Saccharomyces cerevisiae S288C: one gene and its partners. The protein of the gene in region 3 purifies or fractionates together with the protein of the main gene of each other region. This does not show direct contact. Each region holds a gene or a part of one and is shown on either strand. Other genes may lie near its edges.

Region 1 (4,635 bases), on a different chromosome or scaffold from region 3:
ATTTCCAATGCTCCCACTATTTGTTGATACTTGCCTCTTTCAGAGCTATCTGCCTTATGTTGATTATTAGGGTTAATAAATGCTATTTCCTCCCGCAATAATTGTGTAATTTGAACGAAGAATATGAAGAAGATGGAATGGCGATTTTCACTCTAAATTTTAAAAATTGCCTCTTTACAATAGCGAATTTCCTAACCCTTTTTTTTTTTTGTTGATTGCCTATTGCTCGTTCACTTCCCATTTATTTTCTCTCGAATTTCACCAAAAGTTGATGTGGATAATCAATCATCGGGCCTATTCCTGCGGGTAAAACGCAGGGCCCAACTCAGGATAGGGTTTAATATTATTTTAGAGGACTTACAAGAAGGAAGTTATATGGTTTAAAAATTGTAACAAAGTTAGAACACATTTATTTAGCAGGTCTAATTTAGGGCTGCAACTATCTTTTTGGTTATTCATATAAAATATAATTTTTTATTTATATAGAGAATACAAGTGGAATCATCTTTAACGCCAGCTTGTAGTGCGCATTGCAGAATAATGGAAGTTCAAAAATTAAAAGCGAAGGAGAAGTGATAGTAGAAAGACGGATGGGAGGCTGGGGGACGAAGAGAAAGTAAAAGGGTTAATTTATTCGACGGTAACAGATTTAGCCAAGTTTCTTGGAAAATCAACATCAATCCCTTTATTAACAGCCAACCAATATGACATTAGTTGTAATGGAATAATATTAATTAGACCTTGTAAACAATCAACAGTTTGTGGAACTTCTAAGGTTTGCAGGTCGATTGATTTAGATTTTTGCGCCCACACTTCATCATTTTCGTTACAAATAATAATTGGATGGCCCTTTCTTGCAGTAACTTGCTCAATAGAGGAAACTACTTTAGGGAATAGAGAGTCTCTGGTACCAAAAGCAATGATTGGCAAGTTTTCGTCCACCAAGGCCAAGACACCGTGCTTCAACTCACCTGCCAAAACACCTTCAGAATGCATATAAGAAATTTCTTTGATCTTCAAAGCACCTTCCAGAGCAGCAGCAAATTGGTAACCTCTACCCAATAACAATAGAGATTTTTGATCCTTTAATTCAGTCGCACAGAGCTTTTTTATTCTTGGTTCCAGCTTTAATACCTGCTTAATTTGGCCCGGGATTAACTTCAAGCCTTGAATGATTTCAATTCTTCTGTCTATTTTCGATACACGGTCATCTGACAGCGATAGAGCAAACATCACTAAGGCAATATACTGGGAAGTATAAGCTTTTGTAGAGGCAACACCAATTTCAGGACCAGCGTTAATATGAACACCACAGTGGGTGACACGAGAGATAGAAGAACCAACACTGTTAACAATTCCGACAGTTAAGGCTCCTCTTTCTAAACAATAATTTAGAGCCAGCATGGTATCCGCAGTTTCACCACTTTGTGAAACAAACACGCATACATCGTCTCTGAAGACAGGGCATTTTCTGTCCAGAAAGTCAGACGCTAATTCCACACTAACTGGGATATCTGATAATTCTTCGAAGATAGCACGAGTAGCCAAACATGAATGATAAGAAGTACCGCATGCGATCATGATCAGTCTCCGTGCTCTTCTGACAACTGGTAACCATGCCTTTAAACCACCCAATATCACTTTATTATTTTCATAGTCGATTCTACCTCTCATAGTATTGAAAGTAGATTCTGGTTGCTCATAGATTTCCTTTTGCATAAAATGGTCGTAAGGGCCCTTCATGATCTGAGCTAACTCCATCTCTAAAGTTTGAATGGACCTTGTCATTGATGCGCCTACTTCTCTTCTAGATCTATGAATATGTAACTCACCATCGTAAATATGAGCCAAATCGTCATCTTCTAAAAATAGCACCTTCTTGGTATGTTTAACAACAGATGCCGCATCCGAAGAAACAAAAAATTCCACCGGTGTTGGAGATCCATCTTCTGATAGGAAAGCCCTGGATTGAGAATGTCTCAAGTTAAATTCATTGGCGGCAATTGGTAGTAAATTGGCATTTTGGGAACCAGCTTCAAATTCACGAGCTTTCTTTGGGCCCAAGCCAAATGATTTGTTGTTAGATTTCAATGGAATTTCCGGTTGACCAGCGTTTTCTTCGGGAAATTCCACATCCACGAAGTCGACTTTTAGTTTTTTTTCAGATTTGACACCAATCAGTAAAGGGGACCCTTTTCTAGTGGCGATAACCTCATTAGGATAGTGACAAGATTTACATAATAACCCGTATGAACCTTCTAGTTCTAAAAGAACTAGCTTGGTTAATTCGTGGAAATCTAAGTCATGCCCATTTTGTAAATTTGTATTGTATAAATGCAAATATAGTTTAGCAATACACTCGGTATCGGTATCACTTTCGAATTTATAACCTTTGTTAATTAAAAGAGTCTTCAGTTCTCTAAAATTTGTGATGATACCATTATGAACGACCACAAATTGGTCTTCTGGGTCAGATCTTTGAGGGTGACAGTTAACTTGTTCTGGTCGACCGTGAGTAGCCCATCTAGTATGCGCAATACCACAATGAGAGACAAAAGTAACGTCTCTGTTCGGATTTTGCTTAGTAATCTCCTCTTTCAAAGCACTCACTTTACCGATTTGCTTATAGATGAAAGTAGAATCAGCTTCGTCACCATCGATAGCAATACCGGTGGAATCATAGCCTCTATATTCTAATCTTTGTAAACCATCCACTAAGGTGTCGATAATTTCTCCTCTGGATCTTTCCACTAGATAATTGCAGTAACCAAAGATACCACACATTTTTTTATAAAAGTTGCTGTTGATTTGCTCGAGAACTTATTGCTTATTTGGCCCTGATAACTATATAAGAAAAGAAATACAGTTATTCCTTGTTTATGCTGGCTTTTTGTCCACTTTTTCTCAACTATATAACTATGATGTTGGAAAGGACACCGGTTCTGTAACTTTGCAGTGAAAATAAGTGTGATGGATGACTGAGAATGCTTTCTTGTAAGCGAAAAGAAGTACGTGTTCCAAAAATAAAGCAGAAAGGCGAAAAGGGTCGAATGTAAGACACTAAATAAATATTTTAAGAAGAGGAAAAGTCGCCTCAGAAACGCTAAAATGCATCCGATTTCCCAAAGAGGAAGTCTAATGTTTTCGATTTGTGAAAAAAAGATAAAAATCGAAGAAAATGTAGGGAGCCGCGCGTTACCCGGATTGATATTTGAGTGATCGACGGCGTCACAAAAGAAAGAATGCTTGGCTAATCAAGAAAAGTATGTGGTTTGTTTCATCTAATACGGCTGTCAAGGCCCACATTGGTGTTCAAATGCATTTTTTATAGTTCGTGGTTACTGTTAATATTCTTTCCTAGTAGAATGTTTGGGGTTTAGGTATTTTTGATGTTTTATTTATAAATAGATATTTATATCTTGACGATTGTGGTGTTTTATTTTTTTTTTTTTATACATTTTTCTTTTCTTCCTGATTCGAAATAAAAGTATTTTTAGAAAAAGGATAAAGAAACAGAAATCAAAAGAAATAAAAAGAGTGTGGCAAAATCACAACTCGCCGAATTCATCGTAGACTGATCTCCAGTGCTTGAAAAATCCGTTGAAGAACTTAACACCTAATCCGACATCCTTGGACCCTGTAGCAGCTCTGATGCTGTGCATGGACAACTGTGCAATTCCCAGGTCTATGGTACGAGCACCTGTTTGAGAAGCCAATGATGGGCCGATAGTACCACCTGATCTTGAGTTGTTTTTGATTTGGAAATATTGCACTTTGTCTCCATTGCGGCGTGCTAATTCTTCTACTAGGGCAGTTCCTACGACATCTGTGGCCATATGACCGTTAGGATCCAGTGATAAAGTGATTCCGACATTAGGCACTGGAAAATGATTCTTCAAATAGACTTCAGGAAAGTTTGGGTTGTAGAGGTGGTTGACGTCTGCGGACAAGATGATGGAATTAGCCCAAACCGTATGCAAATCGACCGGTTTCTTAGTGAATGCAGAAGAACTGCGTTCCACCACTGACTCCAACAAGCCACCTTTTGCGCCTTGTCTTGTCAACGATCCGATTTCTTCATTATCATACAAAGTGACAGTAGAGAATAAATCTGATTCCTCGGTATTAACATCCTTAGCGTAGCAAATCAAAGCAATCATTGCTGCGAAACTACACAACCTGTCATCTAGACGTGGTGCAAAAAGGAAGTGTTTACCAATACCTCCAATGGTACCCTTTTGCACATCGAATAAGTCTAAATCCATTTGAATCAATTCGGACACTTCCACACCGGCTAATTTGGCAACGTACCTTAACAGGTGGATGCAGTGTTTGCCAAATAAGGGCGATTTCTTTTCATCATCCGTGGGAGGTTCATTACCTTCCTCATCCGGAGTGGGGAAGCCGATGACCGGGATAGTTTGGTCCTCTTTATCAAATGGGCCTTCAGCAGGTTTACCGAAATGGGGAGCCAAGGAAGGAATTCGACAAACAGGTAGGGGTGTAGAATCAACCAAGGCGCTTTTAATTTCGTTAGTGCCCTTCTTCTTGTAAAGAAGGCGACCACCAATACCTAGGTCTCTGTCTAGCCACAATTCATTCAGTGTACCTCCATAGGGAGCAACAGCAATTCTT
Region 2 (5,304 bases), on a different chromosome or scaffold from region 3:
CCATTGGTAGTTGCCATATTCACAAGGTTTTCAAAGGAAATCCAACCGTTAATAGGAAGAATTTTGGAAGCCGTTGTGGTAAGGTTAATTAAGACACAAAACATTTCTACTGAGCAAAACCTTCTTTCTGTATTATGCTTCTTAACGTGTAATGATCCTAAACAAACGGTGGATTTTTTGTCTAGTTTCCAAATTGACAATACTGATGCTTTGACATTGGTGATGCGAAAATGGATAGAAGCCTTTGAAGTCATTAGAGGTGAAAAAAGAATCAAAGAAAATATCGTTGCTTTGAGCAACCTTTTCTTCCTGAACGACAAAAGGCTACAGAAAGTGGTTGTCAATGGTAACTTGATACCATACGAAGGGGACCTGATCATTACAAGATCAATGGCTAAGAAAATGCCAGACAGGTATGTACAAGTTCCACTTTATACCAAGATCATTAAATTGTTTGTTTCTGAGTTAAGCTTCCAAAGTAAACAACCGAATCCAGAACAATTGATCACAAGCGATATTAAGCAAGAAGTGGTAAATGCTAATAAAGATGACGACAATGATGATTGGGAAGATGTAGATGATGTACTCGATTACGATAAGTTGAAAGAATATATTGATGATGATGTCGATGAAGAAGCAGACGACGATTCAGACGATATAACGGGACTCATGGACGTGAAGGAATCTGTTGTTCAGCTACTGGTAAGATTCTTTAAAGAGGTTGCAAGCAAAGATGTGAGTGGCTTCCATTGTATTTACGAGACTCTATCCGACAGTGAACGTAAAGTTCTTTCAGAAGCCCTTTTGTAGCTTATATACATAAGCCGTGGAGATATCAGATGTAAAGTAGTTAGAGTAGAAAAAATGCGGCAAAATAAGCGCCGTCTATATAAAAGAAAGAAAGTGTTAAATAAACTGACCACAGAAGGTGGCAAAAATAATACGAGATTTAGAAGTCAGATAATGGACCCGATTGGAATAAACAAAGTCTTGGACCATTTAGCACCCTCAGAGCTTATCAAACCTGTTAAGAGTTGCCATAATAAACCTTCAGTGTTGGTGTTGGATGACAGGATTGTGGATGCGGCAACCAAAGATCTCTACGTGAATGGGTTCCAAGAAGAGATTCAGTATCAGAATCCTACACCGGAGAACTTGCAACATATGTTCCACCAAGGTATTGAAATATTGGATTCGGCAAGGATGATCAACGTGACACATTTAGCGCTTTGGAAGCCTTCTTCTTTTAAGTTGGGGAATCCTGTGGACTTTGCTCTAGATGATAACTACGATACGTTTTGGCAGAGCGATGGAGGGCAACCACACCAATTGGACATTATGTTTAGTAAGAGAATGGACATCTGTGTCATGGCAATATTCTTTTCGATGATTGCGGACGAGTCCTATGCTCCAAGCTTAGTGAAAGTTTACGCGGGGCATAGTCCTTCTGATGCGAGGTTTTATAAGATGCTTGAAGTGAGAAATGTGAATGGCTGGGTGGCACTAAGGTTTCTAGATAATAGGGAGGACGACCAGCTGCTGAAATGTCAATTCATCAGGCTTTTGTTTCCAGTCAACCATGAAAACGGAAAAGATACACATCTGAGAGGCATAAGGCTATATGTTCCATCTAATGAGCCACATCAAGATACCCATGAGTGGGCACAGACCCTCCCAGAAACTAACAATGTCTTCCAGGATGCTATATTACGTTAATAATATGCCGTTTATGATATTTTCTTCCTTGCTATTACCCTGCCTTTTGCTTTTTTTTTTTCACTTCAATTGCAGGGATTATGGAATAAAAAAAAAGTTGAAAGTAGTATAAACACAAGATCAAAAAGTGGCAAAGAGGACCCGCTCTGTTTATTGCTACTCAATTGTAGAAGAGAAAATAGTAGGATGTCCGATTTGGAAACCGTAGCTAAATTTCTGGCCGAATCAGTTATTGCTTCTACCGCTAAAACTTCGGAAAGAAATTTGAGGCAGTTGGAGACGCAAGATGGATTCGGTTTAACTTTATTGCACGTTATTGCTTCCACAAACCTGCCGTTATCCACCAGATTAGCAGGTGCTTTGTTCTTCAAAAATTTCATCAAGCGCAAGTGGGTAGATGAAAATGGTAATCATTTGCTGCCGGCTAACAACGTAGAACTGATCAAAAAGGAAATCGTTCCTTTAATGATCAGTCTACCAAATAATTTGCAGGTCCAAATAGGAGAGGCAATTTCCAGTATTGCTGACTCTGATTTTCCTGATAGGTGGCCTACACTTTTGAGTGATTTAGCTTCCAGATTGAGTAATGATGATATGGTGACGAATAAAGGTGTCCTTACAGTGGCACATTCTATTTTTAAAAGATGGAGACCTTTATTTAGATCAGATGAACTTTTTTTGGAGATTAAATTGGTTCTTGACGTGTTTACTGCTCCATTTTTGAACTTATTGAAAACGGTCGATGAACAGATAACAGCGAATGAAAATAACAAGGCATCGCTAAATATTTTATTTGATGTATTGCTAGTATTAATTAAACTATACTACGATTTTAATTGTCAAGATATACCAGAGTTTTTTGAGGATAACATTCAAGTGGGTATGGGTATCTTCCATAAGTATTTGTCATATTCTAATCCTTTATTGGAAGACCCTGACGAAACTGAACATGCGTCTGTCCTAATAAAAGTAAAGTCCTCTATCCAGGAGCTGGTTCAATTGTACACAACAAGATATGAAGATGTCTTTGGACCTATGATCAATGAATTCATACAAATAACTTGGAATCTTCTGACCTCAATTTCAAACCAACCTAAATACGACATCTTAGTATCCAAGTCCTTGTCATTTTTGACTGCAGTAACACGTATTCCAAAATACTTTGAAATATTCAACAACGAATCTGCCATGAATAATATCACAGAACAAATCATTCTGCCAAATGTTACACTACGTGAGGAAGATGTTGAACTTTTTGAAGACGATCCAATTGAATATATCCGTAGAGATCTGGAAGGTTCAGATACCGACACTAGAAGAAGGGCATGTACTGATTTCTTGAAGGAATTGAAGGAAAAAAATGAAGTGTTAGTCACAAATATTTTTTTGGCGCATATGAAAGGGTTCGTTGACCAGTACATGAGTGATCCATCCAAAAATTGGAAATTTAAAGATCTTTATATTTATCTATTCACTGCATTGGCCATTAATGGGAATATTACCAATGCCGGTGTTTCATCCACAAACAACTTACTAAATGTTGTAGATTTTTTCACCAAGGAAATTGCCCCGGACCTTACTTCCAACAATATTCCTCATATTATTTTGAGAGTGGATGCCATAAAATATATCTACACTTTCAGAAATCAGTTGACCAAAGCTCAGTTGATTGAACTAATGCCCATTTTGGCCACCTTCTTACAAACAGATGAATATGTTGTCTACACGTATGCTGCCATTACTATTGAAAAAATTTTGACTATTAGAGAATCAAATACGTCTCCTGCTTTTATTTTTCATAAGGAAGATATTTCGAATAGTACAGAAATTCTTTTGAAAAATCTTATTGCATTAATCTTGAAGCATGGCAGCTCCCCTGAAAAACTAGCTGAAAACGAATTTTTAATGAGATCAATCTTTAGAGTTTTGCAGACGTCAGAAGATTCCATTCAACCTTTATTTCCTCAGTTGTTGGCACAATTTATTGAAATTGTAACGATAATGGCAAAGAACCCATCAAATCCAAGATTTACTCATTACACTTTTGAATCTATTGGTGCCATCTTGAATTACACTCAAAGACAAAACTTACCACTACTTGTAGATTCTATGATGCCAACATTTTTAACGGTTTTCTCCGAGGATATTCAAGAATTCATTCCATATGTGTTCCAAATCATCGCATTTGTTGTTGAGCAGTCTGCAACAATTCCAGAAAGTATCAAGCCGTTGGCACAACCTTTATTAGCACCAAATGTATGGGAATTGAAAGGTAATATTCCTGCCGTGACAAGGCTACTAAAGAGTTTTATAAAGACAGATTCATCGATCTTCCCCGATCTAGTCCCTGTTTTAGGTATTTTTCAAAGATTGATCGCATCAAAGGCTTATGAAGTTCATGGGTTTGACTTATTAGAGCACATCATGCTTCTAATCGACATGAACCGCTTGAGACCATATATTAAACAAATCGCAGTTTTATTATTACAAAGATTACAGAACTCTAAAACAGAAAGGTATGTTAAAAAATTAACGGTATTTTTTGGTTTGATATCTAATAAATTAGGCTCTGATTTTTTGATCCACTTTATTGACGAAGTGCAAGATGGGCTTTTTCAACAAATATGGGGTAATTTTATTATTACCACATTACCTACTATTGGTAACCTGCTAGATCGTAAAATTGCATTAATTGGTGTTTTGAACATGGTTATAAACGGCCAATTTTTCCAAAGCAAATATCCAACTTTGATTTCAAGCACAATGAATTCCATTATAGAGACAGCATCATCACAAAGTATTGCAAACTTGAAAAACGATTATGTTGATTTAGATAACTTGGAGGAAATCTCCACGTTTGGTTCTCATTTCAGTAAGTTGGTTAGTATTAGCGAAAAACCATTCGATCCTTTGCCTGAAATCGATGTCAATAATGGTGTGAGATTATATGTTGCTGAAGCACTAAACAAATATAATGCTATCTCTGGGAATACATTTTTAAATACCATTTTGCCTCAATTGACCCAAGAAAATCAAGTAAAATTAAATCAATTATTAGTTGGTAATTAACATGGTGTAGAGAATTATATATAGATGAAAATGGAGCTCTTTTGAATAGCTGTTTATATGTAGATAGAGTAAGCAAAAATGAAAAAAGAAAAGCACGTAAATACGATCGCAATATGGTTTCTTTTCCAGCGGAGTACATAGGTCTGTTAGAAATGAAACGAAACGAAACGAAACGAGATTGGTAAAAGTACATATACATATTGATTCAGATTAAATAGGCCATATGGATACCATGTGGTATAAGAGGGCACTTTTAGTTCTTTTAGGAATGATATTAACATTGGAATATTACAAAATTATGTTTTTTTGTCTGCTGCAGCTGCGGTGGAAGTAGCATGCGGCTGTTCTTGTATTATTTTAGTAGTGATTTTTTTATCCTCATGACTATCGTCAGGATCATCGCTAGCCCCACTTTTCTTCGATTTCATGGCTTTGATCTCAGCGGCTGTCAAGAACCTCCCACCTTCACCACGAGGTCTTCGCATCGCATGTTTATGTCGAGATTCGTGTAAGTATGGC
Region 3 (8,110 bases):
ACTTCTCCTATAAGTAGATTTATTACGTTTTGATTCCTGTTGTTCTTCATACATAGAATGTATGTCTGAAAACAGATCAGCAACTGTCATATGTATATATCGATGACGTGCGTAGCGTAAAAATTTGTATTCGCCAGATAGACCTCTCATAATGAATTGGCATGCTACCTTGTTATTGATAGGAATGCCATTGTTTTTTAGTCTGTCAAGAATGTTTGTGACTTCTGCTTCAAATGCATCTGCAGGTGTACTTCCATTATAATGCAAATTTGCTAGGGTCGTAATGTCATTTACCTCTTGAGTATCAGACTGCATTTTGTTAATGCTTTTGGAAAGAATTTTCATGATATCTGTATAATCAACAGATAAGATGTCTTTAACCCAGGTGGGTAAGAATTGAGATAGAGCAAATAGTTGAAAGGTGTGACATAAGAAGGTGAGTTCGTCATCAGTCATCTGACGTACGGCTTTTCTTGTTGCTGTCGGAATAATATCACCGAGATTCGAATTTTGTAAAAATTTGATGTATATTTTAACCCAATTTAGAAAGTCATTAGGTGAGGTTAAGATTGGCGGTGGTCTGACATGTTGATTAGTGGATGTCATATTAGACTTTGCTGAGGATGAATCAGGAAATGAATTACCTGACTCAGGTGACGGGGTGTTCAAATGTGTTCCAACATATTGTGGATATTGTGTAAACTGTGATTGTGCTCCAGGTGGAGCGTACATAGGTGACATTTGATAAGGTGGATACGGCATCAAAGATGGGTGCCCGTATACTGGCCAACCAGAAATATTGGCTTGTTGGGGAGTCATCATTCGCTGCTGTGGGTACGGCCCATTTTGTGGCAATGGTACTTGAGCAGCTTGAGGAGAGGCATGATGATGGTTCTCTGGAACAGCAGCTGAGGGAGGTGTTGTTGGCTGTTGAGAATTAGCCTGAGTGAAAACCTTCTCACATTCTTCTGTTTTGGAAGCTGAAATGTCTAACGGATCTTGAGTTGTTTGGACTTCTTTAGAAGTAACCGAAGCACAGGCGCTACCATGAGAAATGGGTGAATGTTGAGATAATTGTTGGGATTCCATTGTTGATAAAGGCTATAATATTAGGTATACAGAATATACTAGAAGTTCTCCTCGAGGGTCAGGAATCCCCATAATGGAATCTATATTTCTATATACCAATATTACGATTATTCCTCATTCTGTTTTATATGTTTCATTATCCTATTACATTATCAATCCTTGCACTTCAGCTTCCTCTAACTTCGATGACAGCTTCTCATAACTTATGTCATCATCTTAACACCGTATATGATAATATATTGATAATATAACTATTAGTTGATAGACGATAGTGGATTTTTATTCCAACACTATGTGTGTATTGTGTGTGCGTGTAATATAATCATTTCTAGTCATCTCTAGTCAAAGTAACTTATAAAAGCCTAAAAAAGGAGGATTTAACATGAATTGTCGGTCCTATAGTGTAGTGGTTATCACTTTCGGTTTTGATCCGGACAACCCCGGTTCGAATCCGGGTAGGACCTCTTTTTATTTTTACTCTAACAAATCAACATTGATATTTTTTGTTGATGTGTTAGAGTGGAGCCAACGATGCTCTTAAGATATACACTTTAGTACTTTTGAAGCTCTTACAGTTTTTTGATGTCGGAGAAGGCTTATACATATTGTTATTTTCCCTCTACAGGAAAGAAGGTGAACGTTTAGTTTTTATCAAGGCGCCGAGTAAATTTTATAATATCGAGGCGAGGGAAAAACAAAGCAACGAGAAAGGAAGCTCAAAGTTGGGATTTACATCATTTCTTTAAAAAGCATCATTGGCTTCTCTCCAATTGTTCAATAAACGCAGACTAATAGAAATTGAAGTCATTTTCCGGAGAAATATAAAATATTTTCTGCAACTAAGCTATACTCGATTTCTTTTAAGTTTCTCCAGAACCAATAAAAAGTAATATCTTAAACTGTTTCTTTCTCATTTTTTCCCCGAATTCCATTAAAGAAGATAAGAAACAAGTCTAAGTGCTACTATATCTGATGTCTGAACAGAATTCAGTAGTAAATGCTGAAAAAGGGGATGGCGAAATATCTTCAAATGTAGAGACTGCTTCTTCAGTCAATCCGTCTGTGAAACCACAGAATGCTATTAAAGAAGAAGCTAAAGAGACAAATGGTGAAGATCAAAAATGCAAAGGGCCAGAAAACGCTGGCAGTACGGCAGAAACAAAAGAAACAAGTAACGACGCTACCAACGGAATGAAAACGCCCGAAGAAACGGAAGATACAAATGACAAACGCCATGACGATGAAGGTGAAGATGGAGATGAAGATGAAGATGAAGATGAAGATGAAGATGAAGACAATGGGGACGAGGATGATGAGGACGTGGATAGCAGTAGTTCCGAAACCAGTTCCGAAGACGGGGAAGATTCTGAATCAGTCTCAGGGGAAAGTACTGAGAGTAGCTCTGGAGAAGATGAAGAATCTGATGAAAGCGATGGAAATACATCAAACAGCTCCTCTGGTGATGAAAGCGGGTCAGAAGAAGAAGAAGAAGAAGAAGAAGAAGAAGAAGAAGAGGAAAATGCTGGCGAACCAGCTATCGCTCATCAAGATAGTGTTCCCACCAACGATTCTACTGCCCCAAGGTCTACCCATACGAGGAACATATCACTATCTTCAAATGGTTCGAACACAAACTCAACCATAATTTTAGTGAAAACTACGTTGGAGACAATTTTAAATGATAAGGACATTAAAAAGAATTCGAATGCTCAGAAGGCTATCGAAAGGACATTACAAAAATTTAAGGAATTTGATCCGCAAACCACGAATAACCCACATTACGTGGATTCAATACTAGTATTCGAAGCACTAAGGGCAAGCTGTCGTACCAAATCCTCCAAAGTTCAAAGTTTGGCTTTAGATTGCCTGTCAAAATTGTTTTCTTTTAGATCGCTAGACGAGACCCTGTTAGTGAATCCACCCGATTCTTTAGCCTCTAATGATCAACGACAAGATGCTGCCGATGGAATAACGCCGCCTCCAAAACAAAAAATTATAGACGCTGCAATTGATACTATTTCAGACTGTTTTCAAGGTGAAGGCACTGATGACCGTGTGGAACTACAAATCGTTAGAGCTTTATCTAGTTGCATTTTAGAAGAGGATTCAAGTTCTTTATGCCACGGTGCTTCCTTGCTAAAGGCTATCAGAACAATCTACAACGTTTTCGTCTTTTCGTTGAACCCATCCAATCAAGGTATTGCACAGGCGACCTTGACACAAATTATTAGTTCGGTGTATGATAAAATCGATCTCAAACAAAGTACCTCTTCAGCAGTATCCTTATCGACAAAAAATCATCAACAACAATCCGCCATAGAACTTTCCGAGGCTTCTGAAAATGCAGAAACGCCGGCTCCTTTAACTCTGGAAAATATGGATAAGTTGAATGACGATGAGGAAAGACTAATGGACGCTCAACAGCCTGATTCTATCGCCATAACTAACCAAGATCTAGCTGTTAAAGATGCGTTCTTAGTGTTTAGAGTCATGGCGAAAATATGTGCTAAACCTTTGGAAACAGAACTCGACATGAGGTCACATGCCGTCAGGTCAAAGCTTTTATCTCTTCACATCATTTACTCTATTATCAAAGATCATATTGACGTATTCCTTTCCCACAACATTTTTCTACCAGGAAAGGAGCGTGTGTGCTTTATCGATTCAATTAGACAATATTTACGTCTTGTTTTATCAAGGAATGCTGCCTCGCCTCTAGCTCCAGTTTTCGAGGTTACTTTAGAAATTATGTGGCTATTGATTGCTAATTTGAGAGCAGATTTCGTGAAGGAAATTCCAGTTTTTTTAACAGAAATCTACTTCCCCATTTCAGAATTAACCACTTCCACCTCCCAACAAAAGAGATATTTTTTAAGTGTTATTCAACGAATTTGTAACGACCCAAGAACTTTAGTTGAATTTTACTTGAATTATGATTGTAACCCTGGAATGCCAAATGTAATGGAAATAACTGTTGATTATTTGACAAGATTGGCTTTAACTAGGGTGGAAATTACTCAGACTCAAAGATCATACTACGATGAACAAATATCAAAATCCCTGTCCACCTACAATTTCTCACAATTGCCCCTTTTGACTTCTTCCAACTTGTCTTCTAGTCCTGATGTTGGTCAAGTCAATTTACTTTTTCCACTTGATTTTGCTCTCAAAATGGTGTCACTAAATTGCATTGTGTCAGTTTTGCGTTCCTTAAGCTCATGGGCTCACAAAGCTTTAAATCCAAACACACACACTGCTAATAAGGTATTACTAAACACAACATCTTCAGCTCGTCAAGAATCTAGATCATCTTTGAGTAACGACGTAAGGTCTTCTATTATGACAAGTAATGATGACTTCAAACCAACATATGAAGACGAAGAAAGCAGATCATTGAGCAGTCAAAACATTGACGCAGACGACCCCACACAATTTGAAAATTTGAAACTAAGGAAAACTGCTTTATCGGAATGTATTGCTATTTTCAACAATAAACCCAAGAAAGCTATTCCAGTACTTATTAAAAAAGGATTTTTGAAAGATGATTCTCCAATTTCCATTGCCAAGTGGTTATTAGAAACAGAAGGCCTCGACATGGCCGCTGTTGGGGATTATCTAGGCGAAGGAGACGACAAGAACATCGCTATAATGCACGCATTTGTTGATGAGTTTGACTTCACTGGTATGTCCATTGTTGACGCATTAAGGTCATTTTTACAAAGTTTCAGATTGCCTGGAGAAGGTCAAAAAATTGACAGATTCATGCTGAAATTTGCGGAAAGATTTGTGGACCAAAACCCCGGAGTCTTTTCAAAGGCGGATACTGCATATGTGCTTTCGTATTCTTTGATCATGTTGAATACTGATTTACATTCGTCACAAATCAAAAATAAAATGTCTTTACAAGAGTTTTTAGAAAACAACGAAGGTATTGACAACGGAAGAGATTTACCAAGAGACTTCTTGGAAGGTTTGTTCAACGAAATTGCTAACAATGAAATCAAGTTAATTTCTGAACAGCATCAGGCAATGCTTTCAGGTGATACCAATCTTGTCCAACAACAGCAATCTGCTTTCAACTTCTTTAATTCTCGTGATTTGACAAGAGAGGCATATAATCAAGTCTCAAAAGAAATTTCATCTAAAACGGAATTAGTCTTTAAGAATTTAAACAAAAATAAAGGAGGCCCAGACGTCTATTATGCTGCTTCCCACGTTGAGCATGTTAAATCAATTTTCGAGACACTATGGATGTCCTTTTTAGCAGCTCTAACCCCCCCATTTAAGGATTATGATGACATTGACACAACCAATAAGTGTTTAGAAGGCTTGAAAATATCAATTAAAATTGCTTCTACTTTTAGAATCAATGATGCTAGAACCTCCTTTGTAGGTGCGTTAGTCCAATTTTGTAACCTTCAAAACCTTGAAGAAATCAAAGTTAAAAATGTCAATGCAATGGTAATTCTTCTTGAAGTCGCGTTATCAGAAGGAAATTACTTGGAGGGATCGTGGAAGGACATTTTGCTGGTCGTGTCTCAAATGGAAAGACTACAATTGATATCCAAAGGTATCGACAGAGATACGGTTCCAGATGTTGCACAAGCTCGTGTTGCAAACCCTAGAGTTTCTTACGAATCATCAAGATCCAATAATACATCTTTCTTTGATGTTTGGGGCAAGAAGGCAACTCCCACAGAATTGGCTCAAGAAAAACACCATAATCAAACCTTATCACCCGAAATCTCTAAATTCATTTCCTCCAGTGAATTAGTCGTTTTGATGGACAATATATTTACCAAAAGTTCCGAGTTATCAGGTAATGCTATCGTTGATTTTATCAAAGCTTTAACCGCTGTATCTTTAGAAGAAATTGAATCATCTGAAAATGCTTCCACACCAAGAATGTTTTCCTTGCAAAAAATGGTCGATGTATGTTACTACAATATGGATCGTATCAAACTAGAATGGACGCCGCTTTGGGCTGTTATGGGAAAAGCTTTCAACAAGATTGCTACAAACTCTAACTTAGCAGTAGTATTTTTCGCTATCGATTCCCTGCGTCAATTGTCTATGAGATTTTTAGATATTGAGGAATTATCAGGTTTTGAATTTCAACATGATTTTTTAAAACCTTTTGAATACACGGTTCAAAATAGTGGCAACACTGAAGTTCAAGAAATGATTATTGAGTGTTTTAGGAACTTCATATTGACAAAATCGGAAAGTATCAAATCTGGCTGGAAGCCTATTCTTGAATCCTTACAATATACGGCTCGCTCAAGCACTGAATCCATTGTATTAAAGACGCAATTGCTGGTTAGCAATGATATTGTGACAAATCACTTCGAAAACGTATTCTCTCAAGAAGATGCCTTTTCTGAGTTAGTTGGTGTCTTCAGAGAAATCACCAAAAATAAGAGATTCCAAAAGCTATCTCTACATGCTTTGGAGTCTCTAAGAAAGATGACTCAGAACGTCGCAGACATCTGTTTTTACAATGAAAATAAGACTGAAGAAGAAAGAAAACATAACGATGCTTTACTTCGTGGGAAAGACATATTCCAGGATGTGTGGTTCCCTATGTTATTCTGCTTCAATGATACGATCATGACAGCTGAAGACTTAGAAGTTAGATCACGTGCATTAAACTATATGTTCGATGCCCTAGTGGCATATGGTGGTAAATTCAATGATGATTTCTGGGAAAAGATTTGTAAGAAGTTACTATTTCCTATTTTCGGTGTATTATCCAAACATTGGGAAGTCAACCAATTCAATAGTCATGATGATTTAAGTGTTTGGCTTTCGACCACGTTAATTCAAGCCTTAAGGAACTTGATTGCCCTTTTTACGCATTACTTTGAATCGTTGAACAGAATGCTCGATGGATTTTTGGGTCTGCTGGTATCCTGTATTTGTCAAGAAAATGACACTATTGCTAGAATTGGGAGATCCTGCCTGCAACAATTGATATTGCAAAACGTATCTAAATTCAATGAGTACCATTGGAATCAAATAGGTGACGTATTCGATAAATTGTTTGATTTAACCACTGCTAATGAATTGTTCGATTATGATCCGTTACAGCAAGGAAGAAAATCATCTGTATCTCATCACCAAACAACTAATGATACCAGCCAACACTCAGATGATGATAGCAACGACAGAAGGGAGAACGATTCTAATATCAGTGAGACGGTCGAAAGAGCGCATCAAGAAGAATCCAGCGAAGACGTTGGTGGTGACATGGTTGAAACACTCAATGGGCAAACTAAGCTTAATAATGGCAATTCCGTTCCGACGGTAAAGGACGAATTGAATCCAAAGCCCGCTAGTCTAAGTATCCCCAAGAAAACTAAGCACATGAAACGAAACGAAAGTAACGAAGATATACGTAGGAGAATAAACATCAAGAATTCTATTGTTGTCAAATGTGTTTTACAGCTTTTGATGATAGAGCTGCTCAACGAATTATTCGAGAACGAAGATTTTGCCCACTGTATCCCTTACAAGGAAGCCATTAGAATTACAAGATTGTTGGAGAAATCGTACGAATTTTCTCGTGACTTTAATGAAGATTATGGGTTAAGAACAAGACTAGTAGAGGCTCGTGTAGTTGATAAAATACCAAACCTGTTGAAACAAGAAACGAGTGCTGCTGCAGTTCTCCTTGACATTATGTTTCAGTTGTATCTGAACGATGATGAGAAGAAGGCTGATTTAATAACTCGTCTGATCACCATTTGCATCCAGGTCGTAGAGGGTTATGTTTCTTTGGATGATAGAACCATGGAACGTAGTATCAATGCCTGGCGTTCAGTGATAGTTGAAATATTACAAGGTTACTACGAATTTGATGATGAAGACTTTAGACTATACTGTCCTGCTATGTATGCTCTGGTGATTCAAATATTAGATAAGAGCGTTCCAACGGAGTTGAGACATGCTATAAAACAATTTCTAAGCAGAGTTGGTGAATTATACCTTTCTACTGATTAAGGCTTTGTTGAATGGTCCA

Evidence for each region.
Region 1: the proteins of SEC7 (region 3) and GFA1 purify together in Saccharomyces cerevisiae (affinity purification with mass spectrometry, with the first as the bait; 2 studies listed by BioGRID). This does not show direct contact.
Region 2: the proteins of SEC7 (region 3) and CSE1 purify together in Saccharomyces cerevisiae (affinity purification with mass spectrometry, with the first as the bait; 2 studies listed by BioGRID). This does not show direct contact.

Annotation. Positions count from the first base shown.
Region 1 is NC_001143.9:242,590-247,224, forward strand, and holds GFA1 (glutamine--fructose-6-phosphate transaminase (isomerizing) GFA1), read right to left. Parts: upstream 2,785-4,635; coding exon 631-2,784; downstream 1-630. Other genes in the region: YKL104W-A (uncharacterized protein), read left to right, coding at 2,443-2,697; metalloaminopeptidase APE1, read right to left, coding at 3,549-4,635. UniProt on the Saccharomyces cerevisiae protein: Involved in amino sugar synthesis (formation of chitin, supplies the amino sugars of asparagine-linked oligosaccharides of glycoproteins).
Region 2 is NC_001139.9:47,650-52,953, forward strand, and holds CSE1 (importin-alpha export receptor), read left to right. Parts: upstream 1-1,902; coding exon 1,903-4,785; downstream 4,786-5,304. Other genes in the region: karyopherin KAP114, read left to right, coding at 1-810; anaphase promoting complex subunit DOC1, read left to right, coding at 964-1,716; transcription activator HAP2, read right to left, coding at 5,082-5,304. UniProt on the Saccharomyces cerevisiae protein: Export receptor for importin alpha (SRP1). Mediates importin-alpha re-export from the nucleus to the cytoplasm after import substrates have been released into the nucleoplasm.
Region 3 is NC_001136.10:796,174-804,283, reverse strand, and holds SEC7 (Arf family guanine nucleotide exchange factor SEC7), read left to right. Parts: upstream 1-2,061; coding exon 2,062-8,091; downstream 8,092-8,110. Other genes in the region: YDR170W-A (gag protein), read right to left, coding at 1-1,089. UniProt on the Saccharomyces cerevisiae protein: Guanine exchange factor that acts as an activator of ARF1 at the trans-Golgi network and is thus involved in vesicular budding and traffic between compartments of the Golgi apparatus.